Mytilus edulis: one gene and its partner. Each later gene encodes a partner of the first gene's protein in a complex. Links are inferred from orthologs where the notes say so. Each region holds a gene or a part of one and is shown in the gene's direction. Other genes may lie near its edges.

Region 1 (7,979 bases):
GTTGAACATTAAAATTAGTGGTTTATCTGTACCTTTGAAATTCAGCTTAAACCTTTGTTCTTAAAACCTTGTGTACACAACAATGACATATTTCAAGTCAATAATAGCAATATAAAGAAATATCCAGAAAAATTGATGAACATACAAATGTATAAGGGAATTACAAACAAGCTTGTGTTGTCATCTTCTGTGTCATTTGGTCTCTGTTGGAGAGTTGTCACATTGGCAATCATACTCCTCTATTTTTTATATCTAGACTGCTAACCATCTAAAAACATACCTGGTATGCTAAACTGGTTCTTTTTTCTGACATCTTCATTTTATTCAATCCATATGTTCATTCATCACAAGGATCAGAAACATTTTCAATTTTCATCTGAAATAAATTAGGGTAAATGATTGTAGAATATAAAACCAGGGGTTAAAAAATTTTGTTACAGCTAACTAGCCCAGGACTTATTGGCAGCAGTATTTTACTAGCCCTGTTGGAAGAACTGCTAGTCCATCAAAACTGACCTGCTAGCCCTAGTATGCCTTTAAAATCAAGAGTTTGTGGCATAATACAAAGTGGGTGTCCGTTGTTTTGAAGGAGACATTATACACTGTATTTAATAATTTTTGTTGATCTGTTATTTATTCTTTTGGTGCTTAACCTAACTTAGTTGTTCCCACATTCAAAGCAGACTTTTTATTGGAGTGCTTGGGGCAACTAACGGCAATATTCACAGAGCATTGTCGGTTTTTTCATCAGCAACAGCCAACCTTGCCATGGGAATCATTGTGTCCCAGTTCTTCCAACCTTTCAGGAAGTGAATGCGTGATTTTGTGGCCAAATAGTTAAGATCAAAGAGAAAAAACAATAGATCAAAGGAAAATGCCACAAAATAAGCATGAACATGTGTGAGTCTCGCGCTAAAGACTTGACAGCCCTGCTGTCCTTGACACTATTATTTTTTTCCGCGGCTTTTCCCTATCGTATTTAGCATTTTTGGGGGATGAATTTTCAGCCTCGTTACTCCCTTCATCTACCGTTTTTCGTGTTGAAACTGACGAAGTTCCTGGGGTTCACGTACTAAAATATTAAGAAATATTTTGTTGCATGGTTTCGTGCTCAAGAGCTGTGCAACAAGACAGGTCAATACCAATCAATACATCATACCCCCAAATACCGTTAATTGAAAATCTCGGCACGATAAGGCAGCAACCATTTGATTTTCTGGGGGGGGGGGGCTATGTTTTTTTTTTGGAAAAAAAAGTTTGTTTCCAGGTTTTGGTGAAAAAAATAATTTGTTTTGGACCCTGAGTACAAAAAATTGTTTGTTTCACCCTCAGCTGCCACTATATGTAATGCTGAAATTGAAAGAAAAAAATAGATTGTTCTACGCCGAAGGCGAAAAAAAAAGTTTGCACAGAAAAAAAAACCATAGCCCCCCCCCCCCCCAGAAAATCAAATGGTTGCTGCCTAAGCAATGTACAATACCCCGAGCCATGATATGAGAAATCGATATTTAAAGTACGAGAATTGCAATCAACACATGATACCAGACCACCCAGACATGCCAGAGTTATTTCTTCCAGTTTTAAAATATGTACAACAGGACCTGTACAAACCAGCTCAAATTCTTGGAATCCTGGCTGACTTAATTGAATCGAAATGGCTAACATAAAATAGTGATGAAAGGATTTTTCACTTTCTATTTTGGAAACGTCAATATTTTTTGTTACTAGTCCGTCGGGCATATCGAATTACACATTTTAATTGCCTGAGGCGTAAATGATCTAGTCCCGGGCGTCGGGCTAGTGGAATTTTTAACCCCTGAAAACAGACATCATGGACATTGCTATTAGGGGGGAGGATAGGACCTTTTTAGTATAGGTGTTTTTAAGCTCGGGATTTTGGGATTGATCCTTTCGGGATCTGGGAATTCTTTTTTTCAAATTTTGGGATGTCAGGATGTCGGGATTTAAATTTCTTTAAATTCAGGACCTCAGGATTTCATGTTTTTAAGCCCGAGATTTCAGGATCAGGACCCCTTCGTACCCCGTCATATTATGAATTAAACATGATTCCGATTTTCCAGTTTTCAGTTTTAAATGCAGGATTTTGAGATGGCTATTTAAACTCTTCAGCATTTTTTATGATTTTACCAACATGACCAAAAACGCAAATTACAGGATATTAAAAACATGGTACATGTACATTGTAATAATCTGAATTTTTTTTGTTTGCATCTAGCTGTGACCTAATAGTGTAAGGATTTTTGAAAATTATAATCAATTCATAAGAATACTTGTATTAAAAGTCAAACTGTATGATTTTTTTTCTAAATTTTAATTGAAAATGAAACCGTGACCATTATTTGAAAATTTTTCAATTTTTCATTATAACATGTGTAATTTGTTTATAAATGATCTGAACATCATAGCTGCATAGCTATAATCATAATAATACTGCTGTTGATTTTTTCTTTTCTTTTTTTTGGGGGGGAGGGGTTAGGGGGGGGGGGGGTTGGTGGGAGGGCAGATATTTTGAAACATAAAATGCAGGATATACGTGAAAGTAAATGATTGTGCATACATATGCATAGCAATAGATCAAAACAATTTTTTATGCATTGATAGTTCTATTATATAATATCAGTCTTCACGCTTAACCCCAAGTCCTACGGCAGTGGGTATGAGAGCACAATTATTTCGTAGTGCATTTCTTTTAGAACATAAATGAAAATAAAAAAAATCCCATTTTACACTGTGTTGTACTACTTTTGGGACAAATTATATCAAAATTATAGAAAACTTCATCGGCTCTAACTCAAAATATGGACAATTTTATCTTTAGGGCGTCTTGAAATCTTTTGACAGCTTTCCTTTAAAATTCTGGGCCCAAATTTTTTTACAGTGTAATTTCACCCCCCTACTTGCAATTTGAGGCATTAAACATGGAGAAATAAATTTGGAAGGGGTATAAAAATTAATGGCAGGTAATCCACTGTCAACACTAGGGACTATTCATATTCGTGAACAACGAAAATCAAGGGACGACAATTGTGGTCTTGGACCTAATAGGATAGAAAGAGTTGACTAATCTTTAAAAAACTTGGTATGACCAAAGCATGCAAAGCTTAATAAATTATAACACTGCTTACAAAGTTTCATGACAATAGGATGTATATTATAGACAATAAGTTAAGTTCTATATTTATCTTTGCGTGTAAAATTTTGACGTTAAAATTGAATAATTTCAACTATCAACATTTGGGGCTTCAAAAATTAAAATATTGCAAAAAAATACTTTTTAAATGCCTTAATATATAACCTATCATGTACTTAAAGCAATAGAGTACTCATTTGATTTATCAGACTTGGCATAATTATTCAAAAGTCAAATTTATATGAGCCTGAGCCTAAAAATTGAGGTTTTTCAATGAAGGGGCCTTACATGAAGATGTAATATTTTCCAGCCATTTTAAATTTTTGAAGCTTTTTGGTTATAAATAATCCTTACATATGTATTGAAAGTACTTTAAATGGAAAGAAGAGTTACAAATAACATATCATATTAGTTTAAAAGGGTCTTAGGCCAAGTAAGACTGGAAAAAATTTAGGGTCAATTTAGGCTGTACCTCATATCTACATTAAAAAATGCATATGGAGGCTGTAAGAAATAAAAATTTGTGTCTTTTTTATCATTTCTATACTCATGTGACATGATACAACAAATCTGAGCACAAAAAGACTCTTGCAATTAACTTTTCTTACAAACTTCATCGTCTCTAACTCAAAATATGGACAATTTTATCTTTAGGGCGTCTTGAAAATCTTTTGACAGCTTCCGAAGTGCTATTTTTCAACCTTTTTCACCTGGACCAAATCACTACTTTCCTTTAATATTCTGGACGACAATTGTGGTCTCAGACCTAATGAGAGATTTTGTAAATTTTGCGCAGGAAAAATTGAAAATGAGATACATTTCTTGATTTAATGTCCGCAATATAACAAAATTAGATCTAAATATAAAATTAATGATACATGTATCATCAAAATAACTTGTTAAATATATCACAGGCATTGGCAAAGAAGTCATTACTAATTGTTTTGGTTATTTCAGATATTTTTATCAGAGCCGGCAAAATAGCTATATTATACTGCAATCAGCTATTTTACTATACAGATAAAGCTATACGTATAAACTTTAGCTTTATACGTCAATGACCTCAACTCACCTATAAGCCCCGCCTACTTACGACGTCACGTCACAACCATGACAACGTATAGTAACAATGGTCAAACTTTTATGAATTTAAACTTGTTATGTCTTCAAATTGGTAATTTCTATACCATGATTTATCAAATATTATTAATTAGAGTTAATTTTCCCTTTCTTTTTCCTTAAAATGTCAATTTTGTACCGCCTGGAATACGCTCAAAGGGAAATACCCCAAAATGGTACCCCAAGAGGGAAATTTTAAACATTTTTTTTAACAATATTTGTTTCATATTTTTATTATTTTTTAAATTTTTTATCGATTTCAGTTTAAAAACAATATACGTATAGTGTCTTGAAATATGAAAATTATTTGTATTCGGTAGAACCTCGCATTTCCCCCGTTTCTAAGCCTCATACACAAATAAATTTCATATTTCAAGACACTATACATATATTGTCTAACTATACAACATCATGAACATGTACAAATTACAAGTACAGCATTTATTATTGCTGTAATTCAAACCTCTATCAGAGACATATAATACATATATGTATATATGTCTCTGCCTCTATATATATCTAGCGCTATTTCTAAAGCTTCTAATTATCAAATACGTACTTAAGGTGTTAATTGTTGCGTAAACAATATTTGAATTGAATTACTGTGTCAATCAACTTAATTTCAATGATTGTCTTTCAAGTTGAGCTGTCTACCATTTTGAACAAATTTAATGTCACATGATTTACATTGTTTACATGTCGTACGTGCGTTTTAAACAACGGACGAAAGAATAGTCCTTTAATATTTCCACGAACACTGATCACATTAAGCATGGCTGTCGAAATCGAGCAAAGAGAGTAAGTGATTCTATTTGTTTGTGATTTCATCAATGCAATGTTGCATTTGACTATTTATATAACGCATAGGGACCAGTGTACATTGAATTTTAACATCGTACACTCTTTTGTTTCCATCTTGTAGTCATGTCATTAAGATAAACATTAACTACAGCTTCAGTTTTTAGATATTTCCCTATAAAAGTTCTACAATCCAGCTCATATAAATGAGCACCTGCAATGGTACACTCCAATCATGATGAATAATATGAGGCAGGCATTACCTGTGAATAAGGACGAAACTGTACGATTTTTTTTTTTTGTAACACATATTTGTTAAAAAAAAGAAACGGAAAAACAGTAACGTTTTCGATTTTGGTTCTGTTGTTAGGGATTTTACTTGTGACTTTATTTAAGTTATGACGTCATGTTCGATGTAAACAAAGAAACACAATGTATCAGGTAACGTTTTTACATTCATATCAAAGACAAATAATTATTAATTATTAAAAATGAAATATTGGTATTGTGTTCCTTGAGTTCCTATATTTTACTAGACTACTCAAAGTCTCAAGTGCTACAACGAGACCGGAAGGAGGCAGTAGATTTTTGCGTTATGCGCAAATTAAAAAAAAGCGACAAAAAAAAAATTTGAACGATTTTGAGTTCATAAGTACATTGAAAATTTCATGAAATTTTCCAGATTTTTAATTTTTTTTTTTTTTTATTGATTTTTCTTCTAAAATAAGCTCTATTTAGAGTCATCATAGTATACAAACAAGGACATACTATAGTGTGCTTTAACCTACATGTACATTTGACAGCTCATTGTTACTTTTGTACATGTCTTCTTCTTCCTGTAAGCGGCCACTGTCAACTGGTTGACTATTCTGCCACATTTTAGAGTGAGTGCATGCAATATTTTTGAAATTTAATAAACAAAAAGAATGGGTGCAATTTAAAAACATGTCATTTAAATCTTATGACGAAGCTGAGCCTTGAAAGATTCAGGACTTGGGGCGCAGACAGTAGATTTTGGCAATTTTTATTAGGTTAATAATAATAATAATGTGGCACTTTTTGCATTTTTTGTTTGGTTGTTCTTCTTCCTGGTACAGGAATTCGAATTTGAAAGACTCTGGTGTTGGAAGGTGGAATATCGCGGTTCTTAGTTACCCTACTGCAGATGCCTACTGGTCTCCAGGTTTGGACCTTAAATTTTGTATGTTTATCACAGACCAAAATTTATTGTATGGAAAACTTTCTGGCAGACTTTTGCTTCATGCATTTTTCTGTAAATTTCCTTAATAGTCACAATGCTCATAATGGACCTTGGAGGTCAAGTTGTCTAACTATAAGTAGCTACTACTGTAATCACTAGCCAGTCAACACTGAGGTTATTAGTTGGAACCCCGCGTCTACTGTTGCACTCAATTCCAATCTTAATTGTCAGTTTTCCTATCAAAGATCCGACCATGGTTTTCTCCAGGCACTCCAGCTCCATCCACAAATATAAAATGGCAGCCACGAAATAGCCCAAAAGCAGTGCTTAAAAGTGGCAAAGAAAATCAAATCACAATGCTTATGTTATTTTAAATTATTTTTTCAGTGTTGTTCGTCTGATTGAGCAGTATCTCAAGGAAAACAATTTACTACGGACACTTACAGTTCTACAAGAAGAGAGTGGGACATCATTGAATACTGTTGATTCTGTAGATGGGTTTGTCTCCGACATCAACAGTGGTCACTGGGACAGTGTGCTCCAAGCCATACAGACACTAAAACTCCCTGATCAGAAACTTATAGATTTATATGAACAGGTGAGGTCTAAGCTCAAAATAATGGTAGTAGGGCTAATGTGCTACAAGATACTTCCAACAAACTAATAAAATAACTTACAGCGGATTCCATGGAGTGTGTAGCCAAAGGTAATTTTTTTAGTTAGCTTGCTTGTTAGCTGAGCCGTGAAGTCATTGTTAGGTTAGGTAAACAAACTACCCTACTTTAGAAGAAATAGACTAGTCCGACAGAAACCAATCGATCTGTCTGTTGGACTATGCTACTTCGAAAGGAGGGTAGTATACACTGGTAGACCTATTTGGCAAATGACCGCGATTTTTGGCAAATCTCCGCGGAACGGATAATAAATAGAGGTTCATCGTAAATTTTTCGTTTTACAGTATATTTTGCGGTTCTCCGGAGATTTTCCGTGTCTCAGGGAATTATCCGCGTGTCTCAGGGAATTATCCGTGTGTCTCAGGGAATTATCCGTTTGTCCGATTAAACTGGTGTGTATTGAGTCAGTGATAGAACCAGTGATGCGTGAGCGACGGTTATTAATAGATCGTTGTATAATCCGTTATCTGTGAGCAACGGTTATTAATAGATCGTTGTGATTATATACACTGTTTACAGTCAGATAAAAATAACCGTCTTATTACCCTTTTCAGTCGAGAAATAAAAAGCGGTGGTTTTGATATTAAAGTTACTTGCAATTTAAATATCGAATTTAGTTTAATAAAGAATAATCTATTTAATTGTGACCAATGAACAGGAAAATGCACGTGGTAACTTTGCAATACTACTACAAATATGTTCACCTTACAAAATTCTTCTTTATTGTCATGTTAAGATAAATCAGTTCCTGTAAAAACAGTAAAAACAGAGTCTTAATTACTGCAGATGCCGTAATCCGACATAATGTCATACTGATTTGACACCTGTCTAGTGTGAGTAACACCTGCTGTGATATTTTTGCAATACAACATGGACAAGCGGAAGGTCGTAAATCAATCTGTTGATCCGAATTTAACTTTACCTGTACTGATAAAATTGAGAAAGGAAATGGTGAATATGTCAAAGCGACAACCACCCGACCATAGAGCAAACAACAGCCGAAGGCAACCAATGGGTCTTCAATGTAGCGAGAATT
Region 2 (7,032 bases), on another chromosome or scaffold:
CTCAAATAAAATATTTGAATTTGAATTTGAATTTGAATCTCGAGTGTTTTTTTAGGTGCCTTGCAAAATTAAACTAAACAAATTAATAATGTACAGGTGAAAATACACATATGAAAACAACTTTCTACAAGTATTTTTGTCCAATAGATCTCAATATTGACATTGTGAAACTTTTCCGGAGTAAATATGTAACTAAATGAGTTATCTCCCCATAGATTTACAAATGCTTGCAATACACTTTTAATTTTCAAGATTGAAAAATAACAAATGAATATGTTTTATTAATGTCTCAAGGCAAAGATATGTTAGTGGAGCCAGTAAACAGGTATTTATGACCATAAAATCACCAATTGATGTCGTCGAAGCTTAAAATACAATATTGTAATCTCCATTCTAATGAAACTGATAGAAAACAATGTTAAAACATACATTTAAAATCTGTAATATGTCGTCTGCGCTTGCGTACGTTTTCATAGCATCAATTAATATTGTGATTTAATGACATGAAAATTAGCAACCTTATCCAATCAAAATGAATGTTAAACACAATGTTGCATTAGAGTGATGTTTGACAGGTGATCCTCTGATTCTTTGAAATACATTTTATCATGTCTGTACCAATTAGACCGATTTATCTATGATACTAACCAACTTGATTTGTAAATGTTGAAACTGATGTCTGTGCTACATTCATGATACTAGAACCCCATCCTCCAATATTCCAACTACTAGACTGTAATAAAATAAAGTACAGTGAATGTCTGCCTTTACTTACATATATATAATTATGTAAATGTACATGTATGTATTAAAAAGTAATGATAATGATATCGTAATGTTTCAGTTTGGTACAGGTCCATACAAGAATGAACAGTGTTGTAAATTGAAAGAATCATATACATTTTTTTTTAATTGTATTTTGAAATAAATTAAAGCATACATTTTTGTACTTTCCACCCTCTTGGCCAAACAAGGAGCAAACATATTTTGTCTATAATAATTCATTAGAAATCCATTGACCTGTTTCCTTAAGGCCTGTTGAATGCAGTTACAAGAGGTGATTTGTCCTTAAGAAGTTAAGATTGATTAATAAATGATTAATAGCCAGTGGCAAATATTTAAAGCATATTCAGGAGTACAAATAGTATTTCAACCAAATACATAGTTTCTGCAAAATTCTGCTTACCTTAGGGCCATGGTCAACAGCATTCAATAATTAACTGCGGGTTAACACTAGATGATCATGAAGGACCTGACTGCATTGTTAACAAAAAAAGATTTAAAAGGGGCTGCTGTTTTGCCTTGCAACAGCTAACCTACCAGATGTACATGTATTTACTGACTTTTCAAAGAGCTAGTGCAAGGATTCTTAAACATGTTAAATATGCATGTACAATGTACAACATCGATGCACATGATGTAAGGAGCACATAATTGCTTGATGATTATGATGATAGAAGAGACATTTTTTTATACTGTTTAAGTAACAATAACCTTTTGATCTTCTTCTTCCTCTTCTTCTTCTTCATCATCGTCATCATCTGCTAGTTGATCCAGAACAGATTTAATGTCTGGCTTTTCTGATCCTTCTCCAGATCCTTCCCTCTGTATGTTCTGCCCAGAAGGTGACTTAACAATGCTTTCTGTTTTTTCAGAAACATTTGTACTGTCTGTTGACAGCTCTTTATCATTTTCTGGTGCCTTCTTTTCTTCAACTTGTGTGGTATCTGTTTTTTTCTCTTCCTGGTTTTCTATGTCAGATGTTTTACTTTCTGTCTTCTCTTCCTCTTTTACTATTACTTCACTCTCAGGCTTTTTACTTTCTGTTTCTTTCGCTTCATGTTTTTCAGTACTCTTATTATTTTTTTTGGCCTGTTTTCCCTTTTTCTTTCCTTTTCCAGTTGCTCCTTTCTGTTGTGGTACTTCAGGATTTTTTGTTTTGTCAATAGCCTCTTTATCACTTTTAGGATTAGTTTTTGAAGCTTGTTTCGGGTTGTCTCCCTTTCCTACAGACTTTGTTGCTTTATCTGTATCAGGCTTAGTAGATTTATCTCCCTTTGGTGGACTTTGCTTTGTTTCTTCTCCTTCATCAGCACTGGCAAATGCAGCATCATCTTCTGAATCTGACATTTTATCTACAAAAGCATGAAAAAGTATAAATGAACAGTTAGAAGCTTAGAAGAGGTTAGAAGTCAATTAAAGGAAATGAGAAATATTAACTTACTTTTCTGATCCTCTTGTGATTATTATTTAGTATTTTTGACTGTGTTAAAGTAGTAAGGGATTGCATTTTTTATTAGTTCATTCTATGACAATTAAATATTCATGTACAAATCTTCGTCAAAGGCCAACTTTTTTACCGTTCATCTTTAATATTATTATAAAACTAATGAACATTTACATGATTTATGAATTATTTTTATACATTATAAATATTCTTTTGAATCAACTTGGGAAGGAACTACTTTGGACAGATCAAATAGGAATGGAACAACTTGAAATTGATCGACTTGGCACAAATAGACTTGGGGCCAGATCGACAAAAAAGCTTGGTGGTACAGGGCTAGGAACAGTTAAACAAATGGTCAGATTATTTGTTTTCATGAGTCATTTGCAATTTGTACTATGAACGCTTTTTCAATGGAAATTGTGACGTCATAATCCCGGTCCATTCTTAACCCTCTCGCTGCTGGAGGGACACATATAACCATTTTCAAATTTATGCAAACTTCTCATCATCATGAACATTGATGTACATTTTGTATCTCTTTCAAGAAAAAGGCTGATGATTAAACAGTGCATTATTTTTTCTTCAATGGCTCCAAAATATAACGGTTATCTTTTTCTTGCGCCCACCAGTAGTGTTGAGTATTGGTAAAGTTTGACAGTTCAACGTAAAAATTATTATGTAGACTGTATATTGAACAGATATATCATGTTAAGGAGGGGTATTTGCGAAAAATACCAGTCGAGAGAATGTTAAATTTCACGAGCCGTAAGGCGAGGGAAATTCATTCTCAAGACTGGTATTTTTCGCAAATACCCCTCAATAACATGATATATCTGTTTAATTACACCGAATGTTAATGTACTAAAACGCATTGATGATCGTGACGTTACAAGCGTCCAGTCGGATAGAGTATTTTTGGCAAATACCACGGCAGAGAGGGTAAAAAAGGCATATCCTTTTAGCAAATATGCCGGCGGCGTAAAAAATGAACAATATTCATTTGATAACAGTAAATTGGTGAAAAATACACTGGCTATTAACCAATCAAAACCCCGGATTCTTACATAAGGTGTAATTATAATTATTATATGACGTTATATATCAAACATGTCAAATGAAGTCATTGTTGAGCATGTACATGTGACGTCACAGATGTTGAGCTGCCGTATTTTCTTGTAAATGAAATGAAATACTACCAGCAGTAAGAGGGTAAATAGAAGGAAAACCCATAAGGTGAGGATAATATATTTTTGTTTGTGACAATAGTCAATACAAAAGTCAGGACTGTCTATTTCAAGTACAACCATTAATAATTAAAATATGATCTAATGAGAGAAAGGAAATTAAAAAAAGAAAAAGTAGATTAAATTGCTAAATTATCAAAATCATGCAAATGATGGCATGGCAAATCTGTAATCAACAGATCAACCCCTCAAAATTTGGCATTTTTCCAAGTGTAAGGATTGTTTATCAACAATCAAACACTTCTCCCTCTCAGACAAAAATAGTCCATTTCATGCAAAACTTACCAAAACTCTGCTTGTCAAACGTATGCAAATGGAAAATCGAACTATAATAAATTTCGTCACTCCAGCCACGTCGATTTGTTTTGCATTTTTTTAAGCTTTCGGGTCATTGAGCAACTTGAAATAAATAGGAGCTAACTGTCATTTTAAAACGCATGAGAAACTTAGATGGAAGTGCATGGATTTGAGTTTTCGGAGTTTTCCATAGACAATAAGAAGAAACCCGAGAGCGAAGGCTATTTGATTGTTTACAAATTTATAAATTAATATTATTGAGGATACTTTAAAGAACAATGGCAGAGGTTACAAGAATACGACAAATTAAGAATGAATCCAGCTCTTTCCCTTTTAAGTGTCTTCTTTGTAAATCGTAAAGACACAATAAACCCCCCCTTTTCTCTTTATATTCATGGTCCTACTACTGGTGCTTTTGCTTAGATAATGTGATGTTCCAAAGCATAGAACTATACTTCACAATGTCCCATGACACGTATCCCACCTGAATGACCAATTAAACCTAGCAGTTTATTAAAAATTGGAATTTCGATGATGGAAAACTTTCAGAAATAGACAGTCAGAGCTCAGACATGAATAAGTCTGAATCTGCTTTTGACTCATAGAGGTCTAGATTTGTAAGTTTTAGGATTAGTCTCCCTTTAATGCAAGACAAAATATGACTTTAATAAGTCAAATATTGTTAAGCAAGAAATAACTGTACAGAATCAAAAAGTTGCAAATATCGACTCCTACAAGTCGATAAGTGATCAAAATTGGTTAGCTTAAAGACCCACGCAAATTTATAAGGAGGTCATGCATCTAAATCAAATAATGACAACATTCAAAGACAATGCTTTGTCTTCTAAGGAAAAATATGAATGAGAGTCTAAAAAATCGGAGATAATGTTAATTAACCTTACAATGCAACCACCTGGAACTACACTTAATGAGGAAAAACATCTGTGTTTAGTAAGGATGTTCAATAAGACAATTACATATAGATAGCTCAAGTCCTTGTGAACACTCAGACAGGTTTTTGCTGTCATAGGTTGTGTAGTTTGGCCACCAAGTGAAATTAGTTTTTTCATCAACATAAATAGACCTAAACAAGTCTGTCATTTTATGGCTTAGATAAGTCTAAAATTGAAAACACATTTTTATGATAAATACATGTTTTGACTTCTTTAAGTCAAAAACAAAAATAGACTTGTTTATGTCTGAGCTCTGACTGATAGACACAGGCACTTGTTTCTATCCATTGGAAGACCCTCTATCCAAGTAAATATACGTGGATAGAGGGTCTTCCAATTGAAAGAAACAAGTGCCTGTGGAAATAGACCACTTTCGAGTTTATCCTTCACTGGAAAAAACTCGTCAATTATGCGCCCCATTATGACATCATTTATCAGATAGAGGGGATCGCCTGTATCCCTGCACTATGAACTCTTGTGCTATGCCTATTTTGGGTGTTTTTAATTAGTTTGAGAAATGTACTAGTTTCTGGATTGTATTTTCTGTTAAGTATCTTGTAGGTCTCAATTATGTCCCCTCAGAACATTCTATATTGGCAGCTTAAGTTTCTTCAATCTTTCCGGATAACTGAATTTGTTGGATCCAGGTATCTGGCCTGTCGGCCTTTTTTGTACATTTTTAATTTTGCCAAAGAATTTCTTTTTGAAGGGAGCCTATACTGAACTAGCATAGTCTAAGTGTGTTTTCCCTTATGTTTTATGAAGATCTTTGCATTTAAATTTATATTCTTCTTATTGCCGCAAACATTGAGTTAGCTTTGTTTAATTTTTCCCATATATGTGTTTTTCAAAGGTTTATAGATATATTTGCTTTAATGCGAGGGATATTTCCCTGTTGTTCTAGAGAAGAAACAGTCTGTTTTCATGTTTTTTAGGGAAACAATTACCTGTGATCTAATGACTATGTATTAATTTTCCAGAGTTCTTTAATTTAACTTCATGTACATTCATTAATTTATAGAGAATTTATTATACAAACCCTACCTTCAAGTGATGATATATCTGAGCCTTGAATATGATATGATATACATTTTTATCATATTATCTACATCTTTTATATTAATAAGTAAATTTATATCCACATGAAAGATCATTACTTAAATGTTTATTTTTTTCTTCAGAAACCAACACCCGGTGATCACAGACGAAAGTGGGACAAGGATGAGTATGAAAAAATTGCTAAAGTTCGATTGGAAGAAGAAGAAAGGAAACTTCTTGAAAAAGAGTTAAAAGAGCCACCTATCAAAAGAGAACTATTAAAACCTAGAGAATATAAAGTATGTTAAACAAGGTTACATTTGATCGAAATTAATATATTCAGAAATAGAGAAAAAAAATCTTATGATTAAATATCTTTGTGTAAATCTGTCAAAAGGGAATATACAGTTTTAAGCCATGACAAGACATTACTATGCAGTTGTGGAAGAAAGAGCAGATACTGAAGAGGGACTTTGAGTAAAATTCCCTGGGATAATGGTTTATAAAACCAAATATATAAACACCAGTCTTTTTTTTGTCAGTCAAAATAGACTGCTAAATAAAACTGATTAATTTATATAAATATTTAAGCAGCATCTTTATTAAGTGCCAAGCCACTCTGCCTAAGAATCTGAGGCAGTGGTCAAACGTGACAAACAAAAACCCGGCTCAACTTGACATTAATTTAAGATCAAAACGTACATATATAACCATGGTAACAGTGCATGCATATTACATTTGTTTCCTGTAATTCAAGATATAATTTGGTTAAAATGCACTGGAAATTAACAACTAAGGGGAGATAACTCCATAATTTGCTTTCATTCTTTACCAAAAGTTATCTAGAGATTTCTCAAAATAATAGACACACAGAAACAAAACAATCTACCATTTATAACTCCATGAACTCAGGATAAGGGAAACTTCATAATAGGATGGGTAGGTTGGTAAGGTTTTTTTCTGTCTTGTTTTGAAAATTGTCTAAATTGCCTGATTATTACAAAGACTGGCACTTAAACATTTGTGTAGAATAGGTTGTAACATTTACAATTACTAAGATGTGACTTAGCACACATCTATTTACAAACTGACAAGTAAGTGTCGCTTTGTCTTCATATACATGTATAAGATCGTATGTTAAATTTTTATAGCTGTTCTAATTACTGTATCTGTTGTTCTTGTTTTAGGTTGATCTCGATTCTAAATTAGGAAAATCTCAGGTTATCACAAAGCAAACACCTCAGTCAGGACAAGGAGGGTAAGATAACAT

The links.
Region 2: WD40 repeat-containing protein SMU1 (region 1) and zinc finger matrin-type protein 2-like share a complex: the UniProt entries of both Homo sapiens proteins name them as parts of the spliceosome B complex. The link is inferred for Mytilus edulis from reciprocal best matches to the Homo sapiens genes SMU1 and ZMAT2.

What each region holds. Positions count from the first base shown.
Region 1 is NC_092354.1:21,760,566-21,768,544, reverse strand, and holds the start of WD40 repeat-containing protein SMU1, read left to right. Parts: upstream 1-4,943; 5' UTR 4,944-5,042; coding exon 5,043-5,068; intron 5,069-6,656; coding exon 6,657-6,867; intron 6,868-7,979. Other genes in the region: leucine-rich melanocyte differentiation-associated protein-like, read right to left, coding at 281-319. UniProt on the Homo sapiens protein: Involved in pre-mRNA splicing as a component of the spliceosome. Regulates alternative splicing of the HSPG2 pre-mRNA. Required for normal accumulation of IK.
Region 2 is NC_092351.1:34,546,404-34,553,435, forward strand, and holds the start of zinc finger matrin-type protein 2-like, read left to right. Parts: upstream 1-3,919; 5' UTR 3,920-4,049; coding exon 4,050-4,058; intron 4,059-5,905; coding exon 5,906-6,061; intron 6,062-6,949; coding exon 6,950-7,020; intron 7,021-7,032. Other genes in the region: protein FAM114A2-like, read right to left, coding at 649-733, 1,495-2,130. UniProt on the Homo sapiens protein: Involved in pre-mRNA splicing as a component of the spliceosome.